2 linked regions of the Xenopus tropicalis genome follow. The protein of the gene in region 1 purifies or fractionates together with the protein of each later gene. This does not show direct contact. Links are inferred from orthologs where the notes say so. Each region holds a gene or a part of one and is shown on either strand. Other genes may lie near its edges. The genes, in order: gls and sirt5.

Region 1 (4,510 bases):
TCAGCTGGCTAATCAAGAAGCCTGGAAGCCTGACTTGTCAGACAGACACAGAAAGGTGTCTGTGAATTCAACATACATGAATTTATGTACCTGTACACACAGAGTTAACTGCACAGTGGTCTGTAATATTGCTGCAATTGATGTGTATGGAGGAAGTCTATTTTATACACTCTTTTGATACACCTGTTATCTGATTATTGAAGTAAGATTTGTATCTGCATTTGTAAATTGCAGGAGGGTGACTGTCAGCTGATCTAAGACTGCTGGTGAGCAGCACAAAACCCAAATGAGCCTGAAATGCCGTGCATATGTCGATACAAAGCAAGCTGCTTTACGATTATATGTACAAATGCAGCTTCATCAGCACCCAGCCCAGCTCCATTCCTTTACTTTACCTTTTCACATGTTTGCTACTGAGGGGTGTGGAGTCATGACATGCTGCAGCAAATCAGTTTTTAATCTACTCTGTCACTCACATTTCTCACTCACACAGATCACTGACACAGACCAGGGAGCCAGAGATTCTGGAGGGTGGCGGATGGGAGGCTGCTTCAATAATCAGCCATAACTTTGTAACAGTGCAAAATTTATAAAAGCTATTGTCAAAAAGTTTGTATTTTGAATATTATAAAAACATTTTTCACAATCATTCCCCTTTAAAAATGTACCAGCGCATTATAATCCTTTAAATAGAAGGACTGTGCTTACAAAAAGTTTTTGAGAAATTCCCCCATCTGTTCCACTTCCTGCTGCCTCCTTTTCCAGGTTGTACATGGGGGCCAGTGGTAATCCACACACTGCAGTGCAGGATAGGAACCAATCAGCAGCTAGGCTGACCTGATAGAGAACTGAAGCCTGTATTTGTTTGTGTAACTGTAGGGATGAGATTGGCTACTCCCCTCCTACTGTGCTTCTAGCAGGGAACATTAGGACACACCCCTCCCTCATTTGAAACATGGACAGGGAACTGAAAGGATCAATATGGAGCTCCAACAAAGGGCCATTTCTACAGATAGTATTCATTTTTTAGCATATATTATTGATAATTGCCTACATGATTACAAGTATTTTCATTTAACCTATATGTCTCCTTTAAAAGATTAAGAAAATATTTAGAAAGAGAAATAATTATAGAAAAAAAAATTAAATGGGTGCCTGATAACACTGGACAACTAGGCTATAACCTAGGTAAGCCTATGCATTAATCTGTTCCTGGTCACATAAAAGATATTTACACCCTTGTTATAGAATTAGACGATTAAGAGAATGAAATAAGCTGAACAGAGAATACAAACAGTACTTAAAGGAGAAAGAAAGGTAAAAACTAAGTAAGCTTTATCAGAAAGGACTATGTAAATACAGCCATAAGCACTCACAGAAACGCTGCACTGACTTCTCTGAAAAAAGATTCGTTGTGTCTGTAATTCCTGTGCCAGAGACACGCAGCTTTCTGTTCTCTGCTCTTTCCTGCTCCCCCTCCCTCAAGAATGCTAAGAACTCACTCCCCCCCCCCTTAGAAATGTGGATCTAAACCAATCAGCAGGAAGCTGACTCATAGTCTTACTGAGCATGTTCACTTGGTCTGCATGTCTGTGCAGGAGTGAGGCATTATGGGAACTTTCTTTACACAGCTCAGCGTTTTTTCTTCTTCGAAACAGGTGAAATATGGGGAGACTAAGGGCTCTGGCACACGGGGAGATTAGTTGCCCGCGACAAACCCCCCTGTTCTCGGGTGACTAATCTCCCCGAAAATCTGCCTCGAGAGGAAACTTCCACGATTTCACTGAAATCGCGCCGCCGTGTATGCCATCCCACCGGCGATTTACATTTTCGCCGGTGGGATGGCATTTCAGGGAGATTAGTTGCCCGCGAACAGGGAGATTTGTCGCGGGCGACTAATCTCCCCGTGTGCCAGAGCCCTTAAGGGCACTATTGAGACAACGGAAGATATGCTCTTTACTAGCCTTTCCTTCTCCTTTAAGGGTAAAGAAAAAATGCCCCCTGGCTACTTAATGTGGCCTAGTTAAGTAACGTGTGCACACAATGCTTAATAGGAAAAACTGAGCGTTTTCCCTTGTGACTTGATAAAACTACTACCTAACTCGTAGGGTCAATAGATGGGTATAGATTTGCCCTTCTTTTCCGGGCTTGAGGTGGGTGATTATGCTCCTTCAGTTTTAACAATGAGCATAACCCATATCGTCGCCTTGACTAAAAACAGAGAACAACTTAAGTAACAAAAATGGCTTTCGCAAACAGATTATCTTACTGAATAAGATGAATATATAAATAGAATTCGGCACTGAATTCAGCATAAGAAGCGCCTACACTGTACTACGCGGCCAGCTCTTAATTCCCCTAACCTCTCACAAGGCCGTACCCAGTACGCCAAGCCTACCAACAAAATGACAGCGATCCGGTAAACACCTCCCTCATCCATTCCTCACAGCGAGTTACCCCACTACGTCACGGCACGCCCTGTACCACAATAGCACGTTAAGAGCGTTCGTCTTCCAGGGTTGGCGGCCGTTATACACTCACACTACTCACTTTTCATCACTTGAAGGTTTGGAAGCGGATTCCACGTCGGGTGGAGTTAGTTTGCTGCTATCATTTTCCATCGTACCCTCAGATTTGGAACTGTACCTCCGGGCCGGCAGTACACACGCGCCTGTCAGCCAACGTCTCTTCCAGCAGCTTACATCGCCTCTGTTCCGAACATTGTGATAGCCAACTGGTGTGGCAAGACTACGAACAGACACAGAAACTAATGTGATGGCCGAAGTCCTGTAGCTCATAATGTTCTGTAAATCTCTAAGCATAACACTGCTCACTAAACGTATCATGTTTGCTTTGCTTGTCTGCTCTCACCCTACGTTGCCGCTATGTCTGATATTTAATACGGATCGCTTTTTACTTGAGCTAAGGAGAGGGTAACCCTTGCAAGAAAACTCATTGGTTACATGTCATGTCTGTCATGATAAAGGAGAAATACATTGGTTGGCCTGATGGGCGGTCCGATGACGTTTCTATGCAAAGAGGCGAGTTTTTGCACGGCTCTGGGATTATGTCTTAAAATGAACATACCGTGACGTGATTATAGTTTGGTTGGTAAAACGTACTAATAAACAGTAGAAGTATGAACAAAGGGTGGCCTGGGTATTTTTTTGGAATATGCTATGAAATAATAGCTGTCATTAGATAATCAGATCATACTAATTAGTTCCATATAGTTTTAACTAGATTATATCTTAAACATTGCTCTAAGGCGTTTCCTCTGTATGTATTATGCAGTCAGAGGGCGGAGCTGTTCCTTTTCGCTTCCTGTTCTGAATGCCTTGAGAGGCAAGGCCTAGTCTGTCAGCAGGAATGCAGAGCAGATTTTGGCACATCGGGTCTGTGTCTGCTGGTGCCACCCCTGTCTATTCATTCAGAACATGTAGATTAACCTTTTCTCCACCTAGTGCACAAAGGCAAACAAAACACCCCATGTGCCTATTGCAAGGACACACAAAGGGACAGATTTGTACATATGTATAACTTTATAAAGTGCCACAAGGGTACGCATGCTGTACAATCTTACAAAATACAAAATTACACACAGGGAGGACAAGTGTTATAAATCCAATAAACATATATAAATGCACAGGGAACAAGTGCCATGTGGTATGGGACACAGTAGGAAGAAGGTCCCTGCCCAGTAGAGCTTACAGACTAAGTGGTTGGGTAACATACAGGCACAAATTGGAAGGTAAGAGTGCACCAGGTATGGGCATTTGCCCTTAAAGTAAAAGTAGCACTAACATTTTTTAAGTAAAAAAGATATTCTACCCTGCACCAATAACTGCCCTATCCTGCAAACCACTTAGTATTTTAAATGCTTTAATAGAAAATGCCTGCTAAAACTTGGCTCCCTGTCAATTGAACTACGGCGATAAGGCGAAGGAAGGAGCTGCATCCACTATGCGACGATCGATTGATCGAGCCTAGCCTTCTTTCTGTATAGGAAGGAGTCAGGCTAGGCTCGATCAATCGATCGTCGCAGTTATTGGTGCAGGGTAGAATAGCTTTTTTACTTAATAAAATTTAGTGTTACATTTTCTTTAAGCGTAGGACTAGGCAAAATAATGTTTTAGTGCTCCAGAAGGTAACAGCTGAGCTTTTTCTTAAAGAGAGTTAGTGAGTGTTCCCTATGGAGGGATTCAGAGATAGAGTTCCAGAGATAAGGAGAAGCAAGATAGAAAGGTTTAAGATGAGAGAGCGCAGTGGGTGTGGATGGTGTAAAAAGATGGAGGCTCTAAGAGGAGCAAAGGAGATGACCAGGAACATGCAGGGAGAGTGAAGAAATGTAGTGAGGAGCAGAGGAGTGAAGGGCTTTGAATGTTAGCAGAAGGATTTTGTAAGCTATCCTTTGCTTAACAGGCAACCATGCTAGAGAGCTCAAGTGAGGCTGAACAGGTTCCCTCTTAGGAGAGAGAAGACCAATTTAATTGCTTTTTATGATGAGGTA
Region 2 (3,821 bases), on another chromosome or scaffold:
AAAGTTATACAAACATACATCTCTCTCTAAATTAGCCATACATGATGTAAGGTTAGTAACTGTGGGCCAAATTAGGATAAATTGAATGTTTTGCCCCAGAGGCTCAATGTGGAAGACCGTAGCTACAAGCTGATATGGTACTTGCCCAATTTTCAGCCAGATCTCAATAAGGCAGGACCTTCCAAAGGCCATATACAGGGGGCCATAAGCTACTGATTTGCACTGAAGGGGGCAAGACAGCAGCTTTTATCCCTCTGTGTATGGCCAGTAACTATTTTTACAAGAGTATAATGATGCAGGCTTTCATACTAGGACACTCTGATCTCAGACCCATTGATTAAGCAATATGGCCTAATTTTTTTCCCAACACCAAGTTTTATTTTGATTGCAGTATTCCTATGATTTGGAAAGACATGCAATTTGTAATGTCAAAGATGCATAATCATGTCTGGCCCTTTCGTACAACAGAGTGAGAACTGCAATCCATTTTATAGAACTCCATGTGGTATCATGATATTGCATACGATTTTCACACAGAGTGATTGTATCATGATTTAAAATGAAACAGGTTCCAAAGTAAAATTAGACCTGAGGTTACATAAAAATCAGTTTGCATCCAGATTTATTTTGACTTCATAGAGATAAATTAGGAAGCGATCTTTCCACAGTCAATCAGAACAATCTGCTACACTCTCCCTTCAGCATTATATGTAATGTGATTGGTCCCACACTTCCATAATAAAAAAGCTGTGCAAAACATCTACCCAGATCTAAACTGCCTGCAACACTGGTTTAACGATACATCATCTGCACACACAACACAACAGTTTTCATATTTATTACATTACAGAAATTGCATTTTGAGCATTAATCAGCAAAACTGGAAGAAAGTTTTTTTTTGTACTGGAGACATTTCTGATTGGGATGAAAAAGAAAATCTAAGATTTCTTTTAGTAAATGCAGTTTCCTCACTATATAGCACTAAAAAATGCAATTATGTAAGGCCTAATAGTGTGACCTGTGTCTTGTTCTTAGTATTAAAATGCCCAGCGGGCATTTTTATTTTGCTTGTTTTTTTTGGTCAAACAGAATAATAACCAATCATGCAAATATACAGAAAATAATTCATGTAACAGATATAATAAAGAAGAATAACAACCAGCAAGTTTACTGGTTTAAACATTATTCCATATTTAAACGCACAATCATTTCATGTATGGTGCAAATTATCTTCCATAGTGCAAGTGGAGAAAATTCTCAGCAACCACAAGGATTATTACATGACAAATATTAGCCTTCTCAAAAGCACTTTGAAGTGATTGCTTGCAAGACTGCTGGTCCATTCTCGCTTTTTTTTCCTATAGTAAAGACTTTTGTTCATACACCATATATACAGTAAAGTCTTAGGAACAGCTGCTCCTCTGCATAGGGTGTTAAATTTAAGAAATCAGTTCTGTCTCGTGGCGTGCTATTGCCGGTGGCAGAGTTGTTCCACAGGGCCCCTGAAAATGAAACCTATGAAGAAAAAAAAAAAAGTTAGAATTAAGTTATAAAGCGCTTTGCATGGTGAAAGAAAATGTAATTCTACTTTCTACTGTGCAGTAATTAAACACACTGAAGCCAACAGGCAATCATATAGCCCCAATAATAGGGAGCTTTACCATCCCAACATTCATAAAAAAAAACATTTCAAGCAAGAAGAATTAGAGGTTAAAAAAGCCAGAACTGTCCGTATAGGAATGCAAAGAAATGAACAAATACCAACTACATTTACAGCGTACTTGAAAGCCACTGGAAATATTTAATCAATGTGTATTGGAATGTTGCTTAGAATAATATTTTCTTTCAATGCAATAAAAAAAAACTGGGGTGGAAGATTTAAAGCATGTGACCAGATTTCTCTTACGTAAAGCTTGTCGTAGCTGGGGTATTTTCCATGTTAAATTCTGCTACAGGCACTCCTCTAGCAGCCACCTGAGGTGCAAACATTGCTGCAGGATACACAACTGATGAAGTTCCAACCTGTATAATACACAGAAAATAATAAACTAAAGTGCTTTCTTTTCCCTGTTGCTATCTGTGTATACAGTTAGAGTGATTATTACTGCAAATGCTATTTATTATTGACTTTGCAGTATATTATTTCATATTTTTACCCAATTAGATGCACAGTAGTAAAAAGCTTAATTAAACTGCTACAGTACCAGGTGTTTCAAGGGACTCAAAATTCAGTCATTGCAATTTGGCCTACATGACACCCCTATATTTAATTTTTCCATTTAAAATAGAGAATTTCAGACAATTGAGTAAAAAGGAGGCACAAACAGTTCATTTTGAATCAATTACTGGATTTGTAAGGTATATTCTAGTTTTAATATGAGTCCCCTTGTATAACGTATCAAAAACACAGAGGGTTTATGTGTACAGTCATGTTATTACCTAGCATAGCTTAATACATACCACCACACAGAGGTCACATATTTCAAGTTCTTTTTCCACTTCTCCGAGGAGATTAGAATCCAAGGTCTCTCCAAACCAAACAACATTAGGACGCAGAAGACCATTGCAGCCATTTTCATCACATCTGGGTAGATAAGTTACTATTATCTTTTATTTATACAGTGTCACTGTATTACAGTGATTATACAACTTTTAAGAACAATCCCTGTTCAAAGGGGATCCTTCTTTTTTGTATAGTTTTTATTGGAAATAAATAAAGTACTTGAATATCCATCTATTAAATTAGCTTTGCATGCATGCATATTTATGTATTTGAGTATGGATCCAAGCAACAGAAAAAACATAAGCATTCTTAGTTCAACAGTGCATGTGCATTAAGTAATGTTCTATGTGGGCAGCGAAGGAAGAGGTGGGATCAGGTCTGGACTGGCAATCTGTAGATGCAGGCAATTATTAATGCTAATGTTTAGAGTAAACCCGCCATATTATTAAGTTTAAAAATGAAGCTTGCTATAGATCTGATACTGTTCATGTTTCAAATGAGTGGTGGGCATGTTCACAATTGGAGGAGATAGCCCATCACAGCCCAACAGTGACACAAGCAAAGACAAGCTTCAGTTCCCTATCAGGTCAGCCTAGCTGCTGATGGTTCCTACCCTACAGTGCAGGGTGCTGAGTGCTGCTGGCTCCCCTACGCAAGCTGGGAAAGAAGGCAGCAAGAAGTGGAAAAGATGGGCGTGACTAGAAGGGTTTTTGCAGAAATTTCCAATAAATCAGCCTGAAACTAGGGATGCAGCAAATATACTATTTCGGAATCCTGCTGAATCTTGAATCCTTCATGAAAGATCCGGCCAAATAACAAACCAAATCTGAATCACAGGAGGATCTGGCCACAGGAGGGTTGAAGAAAACCACGTATGCAGCTTTTTTATGTGATGAAAAGTCATGTTATTTTAAGAATTCCGTCAGACCAAGCTGATTTGGCTGAATCCGAATCCTGTTGAACGAGGCCGAATCCCAAACTGAATCCTGGATTTGGTGCATCCCTATCTGAAACATCTTTTTTTCAGCACATTCCTTCTATATTTAAAAGTTGAATGCACTGCCACATTCTTGTTATTTACAAAATATGTCTCCTTTAACAGAGATTTGTTAAGTCTCTGCTGGGAATTGCATGGTTACATTCAGATCTGGACTGGAATTTAAAATAGGCCCTGGAATTTCAACACAGAACCCCAACAGCCCTCACAATCCCAATAAATAACCTATACCCAATTCCAGAATCTTTTCTGCTTTTGAGTATTGCCACCAATCAAAATACATACAGGACCTACCTTGTCCACAGCCTCTAAAGCACAGGT

What was found.
Region 2: the proteins of gls (region 1) and sirt5 purify together in Homo sapiens (affinity purification with western blotting; 3 studies listed by BioGRID and IntAct, with this or other methods). This does not show direct contact. The link is inferred for Xenopus tropicalis from reciprocal best matches to the Homo sapiens genes GLS and SIRT5.

What each region holds. Positions count from the first base shown.
Region 1 is NC_030685.2:45,590,388-45,594,897, reverse strand, and holds the start of gls (glutaminase kidney isoform, mitochondrial), read right to left. Parts: upstream 3,092-4,510; 5' UTR 2,847-3,091; coding exon 2,551-2,846; intron 1-2,550. UniProt on the Homo sapiens protein: Catalyzes the first reaction in the primary pathway for the renal catabolism of glutamine. Plays a role in maintaining acid-base homeostasis. Regulates the levels of the neurotransmitter glutamate, the main excitatory neurotransmitter in the brain.
Region 2 is NC_030682.2:91,793,061-91,796,881, reverse strand, and holds the end of sirt5 (NAD-dependent protein deacylase sirtuin-5, mitochondrial precursor), read right to left. Parts: intron 2,585-3,821; coding exon 2,461-2,584; intron 2,023-2,460; coding exon 1,907-2,022; intron 1,516-1,906; coding exon 1,440-1,515; 3' UTR 595-1,439; downstream 1-594. UniProt on the Homo sapiens protein: NAD-dependent lysine demalonylase, desuccinylase and deglutarylase that specifically removes malonyl, succinyl and glutaryl groups on target proteins.